2 linked regions of the Kluyveromyces lactis genome follow. The protein of the gene in region 1 purifies or fractionates together with the protein of each later gene. This does not show direct contact. Links are inferred from orthologs where the notes say so. Each region holds a gene or a part of one and is shown in the gene's direction. Other genes may lie near its edges.

Region 1 (7,668 bases):
GGAGCAGTCTTCTCAGAGACGTCATTCAAACGCTGCTTCAGGTGTAACGAGTTCATCCGGTGGCATGGTATTTAGGGTTCCATTCAGGCCAAGCGGAGAAAGCTCTAAGAGATCAACACCACCACCTATTAGCTTAGATCCTAATGACACTTCAGAACCAATTAAAATATCTGTACCTTCGAATAGGAAAAATTCTGCAAGCTCATACTCTGCTCTCTTTACTGACGATTTCCTGAGATCTAGCCAAGCTCAATCTCGTAGAATCTCTCAGTCACTGGGGAATGATAATTTACTTCATTCAAGCTTTGGGCTGAATAGTCCATTAAGCTCCCGTAAAGCTTCATTAGCTTCTACGTCAAGTTCAATTTCTCGTGTCAGCTCTTCAAGCGATAGAATGGGAGAGTCAATTTACAGAAGTCCAGGATCTGAAGAAATACTGAGTCTGAATGTTTCGCTACCACCATTACTGCCTGTCCCAAGTGAACCGCTCCCTGCGCTACCTACACATACATCGCATGATTTTAGTGTTGACAATCGACTTTCGGATCATTTTTTTCCGGATACTCGCTATCGAACTTCAACTTCTCCATTATCAAGTAGAAGATCATCTTTACACCATGATATTTCTCAACATATATCACAAGAGAATATCTATCCAAACAGAATTGATGAGGTATTTGTCGGAGATCCTTTACACAAACCAGATAACGAAGCTGATGGCATGACTACCCCTCAAAACGAGCGAAACTCATTTGCTTCAAATACTGAGAGTCTGACCAGTCAAACTCTGAATTCGGGCGATGTTGATTTCGAGCCTCTATTCATACCTAGGTCATTATATATGCCTTGGCCTACAGAAACTGTTAAAGCGTTCGCGGAATTTTTTTTCACTGGCCAAATTGATGGTAAATGGCCTCTATCACCTGTGGCGGTGGGATTATTGAATATGGCTAAGATTTATGAAGTGCCATTGCTCTTCGATCTAATGCTTGAAGTATTTTATTCTATCATCGGGAAGAAAGAGGAAAGCTTGTTTGTGATTAGCAAATCTCTAAAAGATGCTTTCCTCAATCGAGTCTCACTGCTTTTTGAAGATGACCAAGATGCTATGCAACAGTATTTGGAAAATCACAAAAATTACCAGGAATACCAGGCTATTGAAAAATCGTTAAACAGCATAGATGACGGTTACTTTGATATAGATCATTTGCGAAAGGCGTCTGCAGCATTTTCGGTGAGTACAGTTAGTAGCAGTGCTACCCAAGATCATCTTGATAAGTTGAATTCCTTTGATTCTTCTTCCGCACCTGCCCTTACTCCTTCGGTGATAACCGGAAGTCCAAGGGATAGCATAAATTCAATATCATCAGCCCACTATCCAAGCACCATCACTGTATCCGGGAAGAAATCTTCGATCTCACATATTCAACAAAGAATCAATACAAATCCAAAACATAAATCGAGCTTAAGCAAGGAAGTTTCTACTGTGGATTCTCCTGAAATTTTGACACGCTCTTCTTCACCAGCACGCCCAGTCCATACAACTACAGAAATGCACAACATAGATGACGAACTTGATCAAGTAAGAGATATTTTAGAGCATGACGCTTTGGAAAAATCTAATACGAACGATTCAAGCTGTCCTTCTGACTCTGACGATCTAGGTGTTGGACTTTCTCTACCTTCTAAGAGCAAAATAGAGAGGTCCTTCAGAGAACGAGCACTAGAACTAGAGGATTCAGTTGATCCCTTATCTCGAGGATCGACTGAATCTGGCTCTAACTATACGAAGAAACCGTCTTTGTTTAGCGGTAAAGTCAGAAATGATCCACCGTACCACAACCAGAAGTTATCCACTTTAGATAGTCTTGCTTCACCAAATTCACTCCCACCTGTGGATTATGTCATGGAACTAATTTACGAATCTGCAGTCTTAGTGAGTGACGTGAAATTGATGGTTAGATGCAAGGACTGCTTGCATATTTCTAAAGAAATCAAAACTCTCAAGAAAAAACTTGCACAAGATATGTCTGAAATTGATGACACTTTGATGAAACAAAGAAGACAGCCAACTTTGCGTTCAATAACGAGACCTGAATCTCAAGAGCAATCTCCTCATCTTCCACTTCACACACATAGTAATCCGCACCTGCCGTCACCGTCACCGTCACCAAATCTCAAATCTTTTGAAAAGATCACCAAGACAATCTCAAACTTGACTATTGGCACTGGAAGGTCCAAGACTAACCAAAGTAACAAGTCTTGAACACGATAAGTTTAGACTTGACCTTACACATTATATGACTTTATGTATTATAATTGAAAGTTTTCAGTATTATTTTGTTTCAACCATACTAGTCACTATCATGCAGCGTCAGTATAGTTAAATAATATCGTACCTTCTTTTCTTCATAGAAAATGATAGTAATTTTCTGGACAAACTCTGTGTTGTCCAACCAAGTGGAAAGTCCAATTGATAACTGAATGTGAAACTGCTACAAATCGCACATTAAAGAAAGTATCACTTGCGAACTACTATGCCCATTAATATATCAATGGGATGATTATAATACTAATTATATTAAGTATAGTATTAGCCTCAAGTTAGTTACAATACATCATTTTGTACGTTTTGATCTTGTACTTTTTTTTTCTTTCACCAAAGCTTTTCAGATTTGTATGTTAAAATCTTGAATAGTTTTTTAAACAAGAGCAGAGTTCATTATTTCAGAGATGAGTTGTGATTTAAGCAATGTTGTTTTAGACGCTTATCAGCGGCAAGCCATTGAAAATTACCGACTCTTAATTTATTAAAAGTACGACATAGTTGAGAAGTCTCATCTCATTTTTCAACAGTATTTACGGATGTCTACTTGGGAAAATTTAGAGCCTGTTCTTTACAGAGACTGCCACGCTTCTTTATTGACAGTCAGGCTACCGGTATTAAGAAGTGCCCTAGAACTGTTAAAATCCAACGATAAAAGTAAAACTGATAGCTCGGCGTTGGAATTGATTTTCAATTGCGTACTAAGCACTTATGATTTATATCAGGATAAAGAATCAAAAGTTCTAGTCACTTCAATCCTGGTCCAATTGTTTGAAACCGACCCCATCTATTGTAAAAAGATAAGTGATTTTGTTATCAAGACTGCCAGCACTCAAAACTGCCCTTCTAAAGCTGTTACTGATTATTTAAATTTATTGGAATGGGTGCTTAAATTTTTGAATTTGATTTATGAACAATCAGATGAGCTCTTCAATGTTTATTGGAAAGAAATAGTCCACGCTTATGTGATGCTTGTAGCAGCTATCGAGACTATCCTAGATACCCATGAACCTTTTAAGAAAGATTTGAATAAGCAAAACCAACATCGTAAGAGATTGAGGCTCTGTGTCTTCCAACAATCTGTTAAGAGTTTCGTTAGTTGTGTGAACCTGGAATCTACTACAGATTCAAAATCTAATATTGTTGATGATGTTATTCCATTGTTATTAGACAACTACTCGAAATTGAAGCTTCCAAATACTGGTGTAGTTATCACTCTGGGATCCCTAGTTCATTCTGTATTACAGTGCCAAGCCAAGAAACCAATTCCTTTGCATTCGCTGGAACAGTTGACTGAAAGATTAGTAGAGTATCTCGGTAAAGAAGTTATCCTCGCCAAAGAGTTGCCTTCAGCATTCTGTTTGGAACTTTTCCTGAAAGAATTCCTATATTCATTTGTTACTGAAGAACAAGTTCAGAAGCATTTGATTCCAAGCTTTGAGAAAGCAAATTTAAGATCACCAGAAACATCTTTCACCCAATCTGCTGAATTCTATTCGGCGTTCAATTCTAACAAAGTTAATAGTTTGGGTTTATTTGTTTCATCAAAATGCATTACTCAAACCTTTACATCATTCAAAAGCTCAAAAGATATCGTACGTGAAAGCTCCTTGAAGTCCCTAATATCATTATTGAGGTCAATATGTTCTGATTCCTGTGACGAATCATCTTTACAAAAACTTGTGGATGAGGCTTTTAAGAACATGAAAACCAACCTGAATACCGACTATAAGATTATTATATCCAACTTGTTAATAAATGTACCAACTTTCTCCAATCAAGTGTCTTCAAAAATCGTGGATGGGTTGAGAACTTATATTTCGAAGGAATCCAATGAGACAGCATTGAATATTATGTTATCAGCATTTTTCCACCATTTGTCCTCATTAGAAACAGCAGACGAAGTTTCAATTGCTGCCATAAAGTCCGGTTTTAATGAGAATAAGTTACCTTTGAGAAAGATATGGTACAATTCTTTTTTAAGCAACCTAAACACTGCAAAACTAAATATCATTGTTCAGCTCGAAGACGAAACACTTGCATATCTGAAGGAGGTCTGTAATAATCCATTAAAAAATGGAGAAGGTTCAGCATATGGATGTTTCGTTTACATTCAACATCTTATTGACTTGAGTGCAACTGCAATACTTTCCAAAATCGATGACATCCTTGAAGCACACAAGGAGTCATACGGTCTTTCTTGGATATATGTTACCCTATCCACGCAAGTGCCTTTTGAACAGAGAAAGCAAGCTTTACAGCTTCTAAACTGCGCATTTTACAGGAACCCACAATTTGTCGGCAATGCAATAATTGATGCTTTTGAAACTTTGTCAAAACAAAAGAATGATACTCTTTCGCGTATATCATTTTGTTTTGCAGCACCTTTATTCAATACCCTATCTCAGAAACTTTCGGATAAGTCTGTCTCCGTACATTTGTTAACAAGGCTGTTAGTATTATCCCAATTAGACGGCATTAAATTGAAGAATGGATGGGCTGGCTTAGTCCTTAATGCAGAGTTGGATCCTTCTGAAATAGTGAGACAATACGGTGAGAAATTATTCGACAATATGATGTATTTGCTTAACAGCGCTGATAAAACAACACCAGAATTAAGAAGAGCCATTATTAAAGCCATTTCTCACCTCTCATTTATCAATCCTGAGATCACCTCACCTTTGGTAGCAAGCATGATTCAATTAAACTTGGATACAACAAAACTATCTGCTGTGACAGAACAAGAAATTGAAATCTGGAACGGAAAAGAAGGTACACTTGTCGTCGATGTACTCTCTGCAAAACAATCAGCTATCTTAAACAACAAGAATTCAAAGGATTATGAAATTCTAAAATGGCAAGAAAGTATAAGAAAGGACCAAGCCAAGAAAGGTTCAAAGAAGTTGAACAAGGAAGAACAACAGATTGTCGACGAACAGTTGAAAAAGGAATCAAATGTTAGATCAAGTATTAATGAGCTCGTTTTATCTGTGAAATGCGTTATTGATATCATTTCTCAGTTGGCTTCTGAAGCAAATCTTTTGGATAATGGTATCAAATATTGGTTCCCCACATCTGTGAATTCGTTGTTAGATATTCTACAACAGAAAAACTTTTATTTGCTATTTGGATCACTCGGATTTGACGTATTTTTGCAATTATCCTTTTTGTTGGATGATAGGTTAGGAATGTTCGCTAAAACTGTTGGTTACGCAACGATGATAGTTCATAGAGTTCCTCATCTTCTTTCAGATCTGAATTCAGAGACTAAATTGGAACTGATTTCAACTGCATTATTCAAAATCAAACATGGTTGCAGACAAATACCTTTCCAATCTATGGCATTGACTTATATCCTTCCACTACTCGTAAAAGTAATGGAAATCGGTAAAAAAGTTGCAATCAAGAATGCTAATAAACCTACAAATCGTAGCGAGTTTGTGGAAGAAGATCCTGAGGAAGAACAGCTACTTTTGGCTTTGGATATCATATCTACTCATGGCGAAGCATTCCAAGATACATCTATCCCTCGTCAAAGCATAGTATCAGTTCTCTTATCTCTTTTGGCTCTCCCATCCAAGGCAAAATTGGCAAAGGAGTATTTCATCTCTTTATGTCAAAATATATCAATACATCCAACTAAGGAAGATTTATGCCTTTTATTGAAAAGCTTGCTAACTTCAAATCAATTTGTTCAGGCGACTGTGTTGGAGGCACTTGATGATGAGTACGACCTCGAACCACTTATGGAATACTCTCCTGAAGTTTATATTACTTGCTTTAATGAAGATGAAAATAATAGGGACATCGCGAACTTCATATGGAAATCAAACGAATTCAAAGTTATGGATCAGCTAGTGAACGATTTATTGAATTTCTTTGAACAGGAGGATAGTGGTCTAAGACTCTTCACAGCTAGGGCGTACGCATCTGCTGTCTCAGAGTTGCAGTTGGAAAATCCAGATTCATTCAACCGTTACTTCCACGAACTATTGAACTTTTATGCTTTGAAGTCAGAACCTCCTAAGGATATTCTTGATGACTACGGTTTGGTTAAAATCAGTGCAACAGAGCAAAAGGACCCTTGGGAAGCAAGAAGTACTACTGCCATTGCACTGAAAGAACTTTGCCGTGCATTTAGTTCCAGTCCTGGTGCTGTTGTTGAATTCGTACATTTCCTCATTGATTCTGGAGCATTAGGTGATAGAGAGGAAATTGTTCGCCAGGAGATGAAAGAAGCTGGTATCGAAATCATTAACTACCACGGTAGTAAGTATTTGCAAGATTTGATGCCAATATTTGAAAACTTTTTGTCTTCTTCTACTGATGTTTTGATGAAAGAAAATGTCGTTATTCTATATGGTTCTCTAGCTAGACACTTGAAGCAAGATGATCCAAGAATTAGAACCATTGCTGAGCGTTTGTTAAGCTCCCTTCAAACTCCATCAGAAGAATTACAAAAATCAATTTCAAAATGTTTATCTGCTTTGGTTCCCTTATTCCAGAGCTCTGCCCAAGAATACATTGACTTCTCTTTGCAAGCATTATTTGACTCACCTGCACCAAACCAAATTAGAAGAGGTGCTGCTTGGGGTATTGCTGGTTTAGTAAAGGGGTACGGTATTTCTGCTCTTTCAGACTTTGATGTTATTCGCAGCTTAATCGAAGGATCCGAAGATAAAAAAGACCCACGCTGCCGTGAATCGGTTGCATATGGGTTCGAGTGCCTATCTCTTGTTCTAGGGAAGTTTTTCGAGCCATACGTGATTGAGATTCTACCGAACATTCTAAAGAATTTGGGAGATCCAGTTCCTGAAGTACGCGAAGCTACAGCACAGGCCACTAAGGCTATAATGTCATCTACCACAAGCTTTGGTGTGAAGAAACTAATTCCTGTTGCTGTTTCTAACCTTGATGATATATCCTGGAGAACAAAAAGAGGTTCTGTGGAGCTTTTGGGTAACATGGCTTATTTGGATCCCACTCAACTCTCTGCATCTTTGTCTACCATTGTTCCTGAAATTGTAGGTGTTTTGAATGATACCCACAAGGAAGTCAGAAAGGCCGCTGACGAGTCTTTGAATAGATTTGGTGAAGTTATTAGAAACCCTGAAATCCAGAAATTGGTTCCTACTTTGATTAATGCTATTGGTGATCCAACAAAATACACAGAAGATGCACTAGATGCCTTGATTCAAACACAGTTTGTTCATTACATCGATGGTCCTTCATTAGCGTTGATTATCCACGTTATTCATCGAGGTATGCGTGACAGATCTGCAAACACTAAGAGGAAGGCTTGTAAAATTGTCGGTAACATGGCTATCCTTGTTGATACTAGA
Region 2 (7,566 bases), on another chromosome or scaffold:
TTCCTTCAAGAAATCAAACCAAAATTCGGACAACTTGGTCAACAAGATACCCTTTTCTGGAATTGCATTCTTCATGATGACATCGTACGCAGAAATACGGTCAGTAGCGACGAACAACAAAGTTTGATCATCGACTTGGTAAATGTCTCTAACTTTACCTCTAGCCACTAATGGTAGGATACCGTCCAAGTTGGTTTGAGTGATGCTTGTCGTGTTCATGATGATCCCTTTTTTTCTTTTCAATTTCAATCTCCGCAGTAGTAATAGTCGGAAGCGAGTGAGTAATAGTACGTGAATCAGCTAATGCTTAGATGTGATAGTTCTCTAACATCTATCAAATATTAAGTGAAAAAGTGATTATACCGCTTTGCAACCACCTAATTTGCACACGTACTTACAAAGCTGGCTCATCTCATTATATACATCGCATTTCAATTTTTTATTTCTCATGTCTCGAGGGAAAGTAATATCGAAATATATCGAGATATGTCAAGTCAAAAATCATCATTTAAACACGTGACTGATATATTCCACGTAATGCTAAAATAGTAATCCGGGTAATGAAATATATTTCGGTTTCTCTTTCGCATCAGTTCCTTTTTCGCATAGCGAAGTTTCTGACATTCACAGCCGTTAGTCTTTAGTGATATACATTTAGAGATACAGATATGGTGGAATTAGTGAGAATGAACATGAAACGAGACAGAGAGGGAAAGGTGTATAGCGTACAGTAAAGGTCGTTCGACTTATCGAAGCTAGCACCTATACAAAAGGCGCAACAAACCATTTTAGAAGGGTTTTCAGGGGGATTTTCCGCTCTGGATAAAGCACTAAGAGGCTTGAAACAGCTTTTAATTCTCTTGTTTTTGGTGCAACATTTTCCACTGAGGTTTCAGAGATATATTTATACACGCGTTACTTGGAGAAAAGTATTATCAGCTTCCATCTCTGAATCCTATCTGTGCATTAACTGCTATTATACCACTCGAGTTGTATCGTATGATGGATTTGGAGTATCCTAAGATGTCAGGACTCGCAGGTCTGGGCTCTGGCTTAAGATCACGGGAACGATCAAAACCTGATCTATCGATATTAACTGATCCTACACTGGTTGAGGATTTCGATGAAATCATGAAACAGATGCGAAGCCTCAAGAAGGACGAGGAATCCCTGAGTGTCAATGCTAGTGTTGTGATAACGCCGACTGAAGCACATGCTAATGACGTAAATCGTCAAAAAGTTGACTATGAAGGTGTCCCGGATCTCGGTGATTTACAGTTGGAAGATGAGGAGGAAGAAGAAGAAGGAGAAGAAGAGTTAGCACAGGATATCGATAATGAGCATGATACCAGTTTCAGTTCGCGACATGGGAACGAGCTGCAGGATTCAGATTATGCATATTCAGATTCGGATTTTGAAGATAATTTGGAGGAGCGGTTAAGAAGTTTAGAGACTTCTTCTCAAAGAAACAGCGGAGAACATGTTTCTTCTGTGAAAGGGATAGTTGCAAACGATACATCGAGTGCTATTGATAATAACATGGTGGCAGATCGTGCGAAAGAAGCAAGAAACGGATTGGAGCAGAGATCATATGACGATATTGATGATGACGATGATGAGGCAGAAGAACAAGATGACAACGACGAAGAGGACTTGAATATAGGTTGGAACACTAATGAATCTGATGATTCTGATGAGCTGCAGCCGTTAAATCCGCCGCAAGAATTAGACCCCAGCAAATTATATGCATTATACCCGTTCCAGGGACCTGATCCATCACATTGCCAGTTGGAACAGGACGAAGGTTGTACTCTTTTGAATGACCAGGACTCTTATTGGTGGTTAGTTAAACGTTGCAGTGATGGGAAAATAGGATTCGCGCCTGCAGAACTTCTTGAAACGTTTCCTGAAAGGTTAGCTAGACTGAACTGTTGGAAAAACGAAAATATATCATCACATTCAATTTCTCATAAAGAGGATTCAAATTCAAGCAAAGAATCGAATATTTTGAACAAAGAAGATAGTATTGAGGCAGTTGAGTCCCCGTTGAACGCATACTCAAAAACTAATAAATCGGTTAGCTTCAATAATGTTGTCAGTTATGCTGAAAGATATATTGATGAAATAGAGCAAGAACCATTGGAGGACGACAGCGGAGAACTGAATGGTGCAGGAGAATACGTTCATGATGTGGAATCAAGAGACGGGCAAGACGGGCATCTACACCTGGGAACAGATCTTGGAACTCACTTAACACATGTCGATGAAATACATGAAACCCTTCTGAATGATCATTTGTCAGATGATGTAAGCGAAGTTGTAAGTGATGCTGCCTTCAATGTCCATGAAATGGCACCATTAATGGTGCAAAAAAATAGACCTTCAAAACCTGCCTTGACGGATCTGTTGTCAGAGAAACAAAATGATCTAAAACAAGTCTTTCAAGCTCCCACTATGCCAGTAGCAGCACCAAGAGGTACTTCCCAAATGACAAATTCAAATTCAAATTGTTCCATATCTACAATCGGAGAATACTCGCCTTCCTCTTCAGACTGGACAAATGATTCACCTCAGTTGCTAAGTGAAAAGGAATTCGAGAAGTCTAATTTGAATGATCAAATCCCATCTTCCAGAGCTATTCAAGATATATCGAAAATTGTAAGCTCGCAAGATGCGCCTGATTTGAACTCTCTTCATGATGAAGATTCTCTGCAACATAGTGAATCATTGCCAAAAGTAACTCATAATCACCAGCATTCGATATCTACACTGAATGCTGTAGATATCAACAGTTCTGTCGGGACAGAAAAAACTATTGATATTGATGAAGAAAATAGTATCTTACCAGATGAAAATACAAACGCTTACAGCACCGTTCCATCCTCTATAGCCTCAAGTTGCATGGACCATGAACACAACTCTCCATTAATTTCTGAAGTAGCATTGCATACAAGCACTGGTGTAGTAGGGGATTATCATCCAGTGATTAACTCCTTGTACAACCCTATTTTCAGCAAAATAGATGTTATGATGGACAAGATAGAAAACGCCATCTCAAACTGATATTACCTCCATTCAACGCATTATGTAGCTAACTTTTATAGAGACATAACCCAACAACAGCAATCACTATTGCTTCAGTAATCTGTCTGTGCTCATCTCCTGTTTCAGTACCGAAAGAATAACACACGTGACCGCAGTACTGCATTAGACTTTAAAATTTTTTTTTGGTTTGTTAGCTCATCGCAGAGATATCAAATTCACTAAAAACATTTGAGCAGGAGGAAGCACGGATATTGCTGATAAGGAAGTGGTCAGTACCGTGGAGACTCCATAAACAACCTTGAATCCCAGTATGCCATGGTCACCAGATAACGAAGGACTAACTCAACTTTGTTTGACATTACAACATGCTGTTTCAACTAATTCTGATGAGAGACAGCAAGCACTCGATGCATTGGAAACATTCAAATTAGAACCACAGTTTGCCAATTATTTATGTTACATTTTACTTCATCTTGAGGAAATGGATCAGTTAAGAGGTACTGCAGGTATTCTTTTGAAGAATTGCATATTGGGAGGCAACATCGTTGACCTAGGGTATGTCAAATCAGAAATTGTACGCGGGTTGTGTTTGAATAACAAATTTATTGTCAAGATTACTGGTATTGTAATTGCAGCCTTGTATTCTACTTATTATAGACAGCATAGAGAAGATCCTCAAGGGTTAATCACACTTGCACAATTAATTGAGCTCGCGAGAGACAATAACGAGGGTTCTTTGAAGGCCTTATCCAAAATGATGGAGGATGGTGCACAGTTTTTCCAGTTACAATGGTCGAACAATCAGGTGCCGATTGGAGAATTGGTATCGTTGTTTTTGACTTTGATGGTAGAAGGTAAGACACCAGTAGTCAGATCTGAGAGCATCAACTGTTTGAACAATATTATCCCGTTACAGTGCCAAGAATTATCCGTTAATTTAGATACTTTATTGACAAACATCTTCTCGTTAGCATCTAGCGAATCTTCATATTTAGTCAAACAACAAATTTGCCAGTGTTTGACCCTGAACTTAGAGTTCAGACCAGACAAACTCATGACACATCTACAGGGCATCATACAATTCATGGGACATTTGATTGTTAACACTGATAGAAACGATAGTGAAGAGGAGAAAGTTGCATTGGGAGCATGTGAGTTTATACTTGCGTTGGTGTCGAATACAAACGTACCAGATCATCTGATACAACCTTATGTGCAAGAACTTGTTCCACTTCTTTTGACAAACATGGTTTATAGCCAGGAAGAAATTGTTGTTATGGAAGCTTCCAACGGGGATGATGCAGACTCTGAAGACAAAGATGAAGATATCAAACCAGTTTCAGCAAAAATACAAAAGAAAAATGACGATGATAATGACGAAGACTCTGATGATGACGAAAACTTTGATCATGAATGGAACTTAAGAAAATGTGCAGCATCAGTACTCGATATACTTACCGGCATATTTCCGAAGGAAGTCATAGAAACAGCACTTCCACTACTTAGAGAACATTTGACTTCGGATAGTTGGTACATTAGAGAGGCAACAACACTATCTCTTGGTGCTATGGCTGAAGGTGGCATGAAATACTTCGATGGTCAATTGCCAGCGTTGATACCATTTTTGGTCGAGCAATTGAAAAGTCCATGGTTCCCAGTTAGAAGAATGACCTGCTGGACTCTAAGCAGATTCTCCATTTGGATCTTGGATGATCGTACCGAATTTTTAATGCCGGTACTAAATCCTATCATGGAAACTTTACTGGACAAAAAGAAAGGTGTCCAAGAGGCAGCCATTACGGCAATTGCCACTTTTATCGAGAATAGTGATCCTGATATAGTTGGTACAGTCCTATATGAGCCACTATTAGACAGATTCGACGAATGTTTCAGATTCTATCAAAAGAAAAACTTAATCATTTTGTATGATGCGGTCAGTAGGTTGAGCGAGAAGTGTGATCTTGATGAACAAGCTATTACGAAGTTACTTCCCCATTTATTGAACAAATGGTCTGCTTTGGACGACAATGACAAAGAACTCTGGCCACTCCTGGAGTGTTTATCGTATGTATCAACATCTTTAGGCCCCAGGTTCGCTCCGATGGCTATGGAAGTTTACAATAGAGCTTGGAATATTCTCTGCAGATGTGTTGATTTAGAAGCCAAATCACAAGTTGATCCAACGATAGTGGTTCCTGAAAAAGATTTCATCATAACTTCACTTGATTTAATTGACGGGTTAGTCCAGGGGTTAGGTTACGATTCCAAGGCCCTTTTATTCCCAAATCATGATACCAACATGTTTTCCGTCATCTTGCAATGTTTACAAGATCACAGCCATGAGGTAAGACAAAGTGCATACGCGCTACTGGGAGATATAGCATATTACTACGAGAGGCAATTATTTACAAGCGACTTCTCAAAGCGAATGGTGGAAACAATCGGAAACGAATTGATTCAAAACGGAGAAAACCATGAAGCTGTATCTACTGTCAATAATGCTATCTGGTGCCTAGGTCTCATGGCACATAAGATAGATCTGGGCCCTTGTATCATTGAAATAAGTAGGATAGTGCTGGACCTCTTCTGTTCTACTCAGTTGGTTTTACCAACAAGCATAATGGAAAATTTGTGCATCACCATTGCTAGACTAGCTCATTTCCATCCAGAAATCTTCACACAACCACCTTTTGCAGGCGAAACCCAATGGCACAAATGGTGCTCTATAGCCAGTGAACTCACAGATCCAGAAGAGAAAACCGTCTCTTACACCGGTTTCATTAAAATAATGAACTTAATGGATTTCAATGCCCAAGGCATGCCTTCCGACAAAACCTGGGAGCTCTTTTTCAGAGGATTGCAACAAGATGTCGACATTTCCATTATATCAGAGGACCTCTACGCTTTGGCAATGAGGCTACCAGATCCTTGGCAACAATTGTTAATGAACTCCGGAATGTTTTGAACAGAAGAAAAGCATGATGTATAACCGTCATTGTTAACCAGTTACATAACGAATAGGTTACGACGCTCGTATGTGTAGGCAAATAATTTCGATAACCATACCCTTCCCCTCTTCTCCTGAGGCAAAGAGTCGTAGTAAATCACAACTGTCCAGCCGTTGCAATCACGTGATGCAGTCCTAGGCAAGAGCGTTTTCGGTTTTCTCCGAAAGAATACCTTCGAGATGACTGGATCGTACTGATAAAAAAAAGAAAAATCGAAAAATTCCGAGCTGATAAGGCCCGTAATCTCGAAGAGAGGTAAATATACCTGAAGCTGTGGCATTGGGATATATAAACTGGCACACAAGCTACAATGTGGTATGTAGTTTAATTTAAATGTTTAGTTGTAAATGAGTACTGACTTGAATTTATCTTGATTTTTTCTTTTACCGCAACTTATTCTTTGAATCTGTGTCATAAAGGCATTGACAATGATACAAGCCGTCGCTTCAAACCATGTTGCATTCCATGAGGGCGTAGCTCCTGGCACGATTATCTATAGTGTAGAGAATGGTAAAATTTTGGATGTACTACAAGGAAGGGTAGCCACCGAAAGAGAACTAATAGGCTGTGGATGGAATTTAGAATCCTATGACATTGTTTCGCCGTACTTAATAATGCCTGGATTGGTGGACGCTCATGTACATTTGAATGAACCTGGTAGAACTGAATGGGAAGGATTCGAGACGGGGACCAAAGCAGCCGTCGCTGGTGGTGTTACTACTGTCATAGACATGCCTTTGAATGCCATCCCACCAACAACGAATATTAAGAATTTCAAGCTGAAATTGGATGCAGCAGAGGGCCAGCTGTGGTGCGACGTTGGATTTTGGGGCGGGTTAGTACCGGACAACTTAGCCGATTTGAAACCGCTAGTAGAAGCTGGCGTAAGAGGTTTCAAAGGGTTTCTTATAGATTCCGGTGTCGATGAGTTTCCTGCAATTGATAAACGATACATCCAACAGGCGTTGCACTTATTGCAAGGTGAGAAAACTATGGTTATGTTCCATGCTGAATTACAGCTACCAGAACCTGGCCACGAACACACTATTGTAGACTATAATGGTGAACTGGGGACTGACAGTAATGCCGAGAACTTGCTTTCTGCAACCAAGTCATTATCATCTGTCGAACCAAAATATGGTCAAGTTTCGGAATTAATCCAACATCACGAAGATCATTTGGATTCAATAACTACACCTCTCGAAGCCGCAGAAAATGAAATATGCGACCATTCATTGTCCAAAATAGATCCATGCGAATACAATAGCTTTTTATTATCCAGACCGGATCATTTTGAAACAGACGCAGTAGCATTAATTGTCAGTTGTTTACGCAACAGCATCCTTCAGAATGGGATCGAAAAGTCACCGTTCGTTCATATAGTACATCTAGCATCGATGGAAGCTTTACCAATCTTGAAACGGGCTAAGGATATGGGACTTCCAATCACCGCCGAAACTTGCTTCCATTATCTTTCATTGGCAGCTGAAAGGGTTCCTAAATCCAAGACTTT

What was found.
Region 2: the proteins of GCN1 (region 1) and KAP104 purify together in Saccharomyces cerevisiae (affinity purification with mass spectrometry; 3 studies listed by BioGRID). This does not show direct contact. The link is inferred for Kluyveromyces lactis from reciprocal best matches to the Saccharomyces cerevisiae genes GCN1 and KAP104.

The regions. Positions count from the first base shown.
Region 1 is NC_006042.1:1,146,807-1,154,474, reverse strand, and holds the start of GCN1 (Gcn1p), read left to right. Parts: upstream 1-2,865; coding exon 2,866-7,668. Other genes in the region: KLLA0_F12452g (uncharacterized protein), read left to right, coding at 1-2,266. UniProt on the Saccharomyces cerevisiae protein: Ribosome collision sensor that activates a translation quality control pathway when a ribosome has stalled during translation. Directly binds to the ribosome and acts as a sentinel for colliding ribosomes.
Region 2 is NC_006039.1:388,813-396,378, forward strand, and holds KAP104 (Kap104p), read left to right. Parts: upstream 1-3,355; coding exon 3,356-6,010; downstream 6,011-7,566. Other genes in the region: ADE1 (phosphoribosylaminoimidazolesuccinocarboxamide synthase), read right to left, coding at 1-219; protein phosphatase regulator BUD14, read left to right, coding at 1,000-3,063; DAL1 (allantoinase), read left to right, coding at 6,482-7,566. UniProt on the Saccharomyces cerevisiae protein: Functions in nuclear protein import as nuclear transport receptor. Serves as receptor for arginine/glycine-rich nuclear localization signals (rg-NLS) and PY-NLS in cargo substrates. Its predominant cargo substrate seems to be mRNA-binding proteins.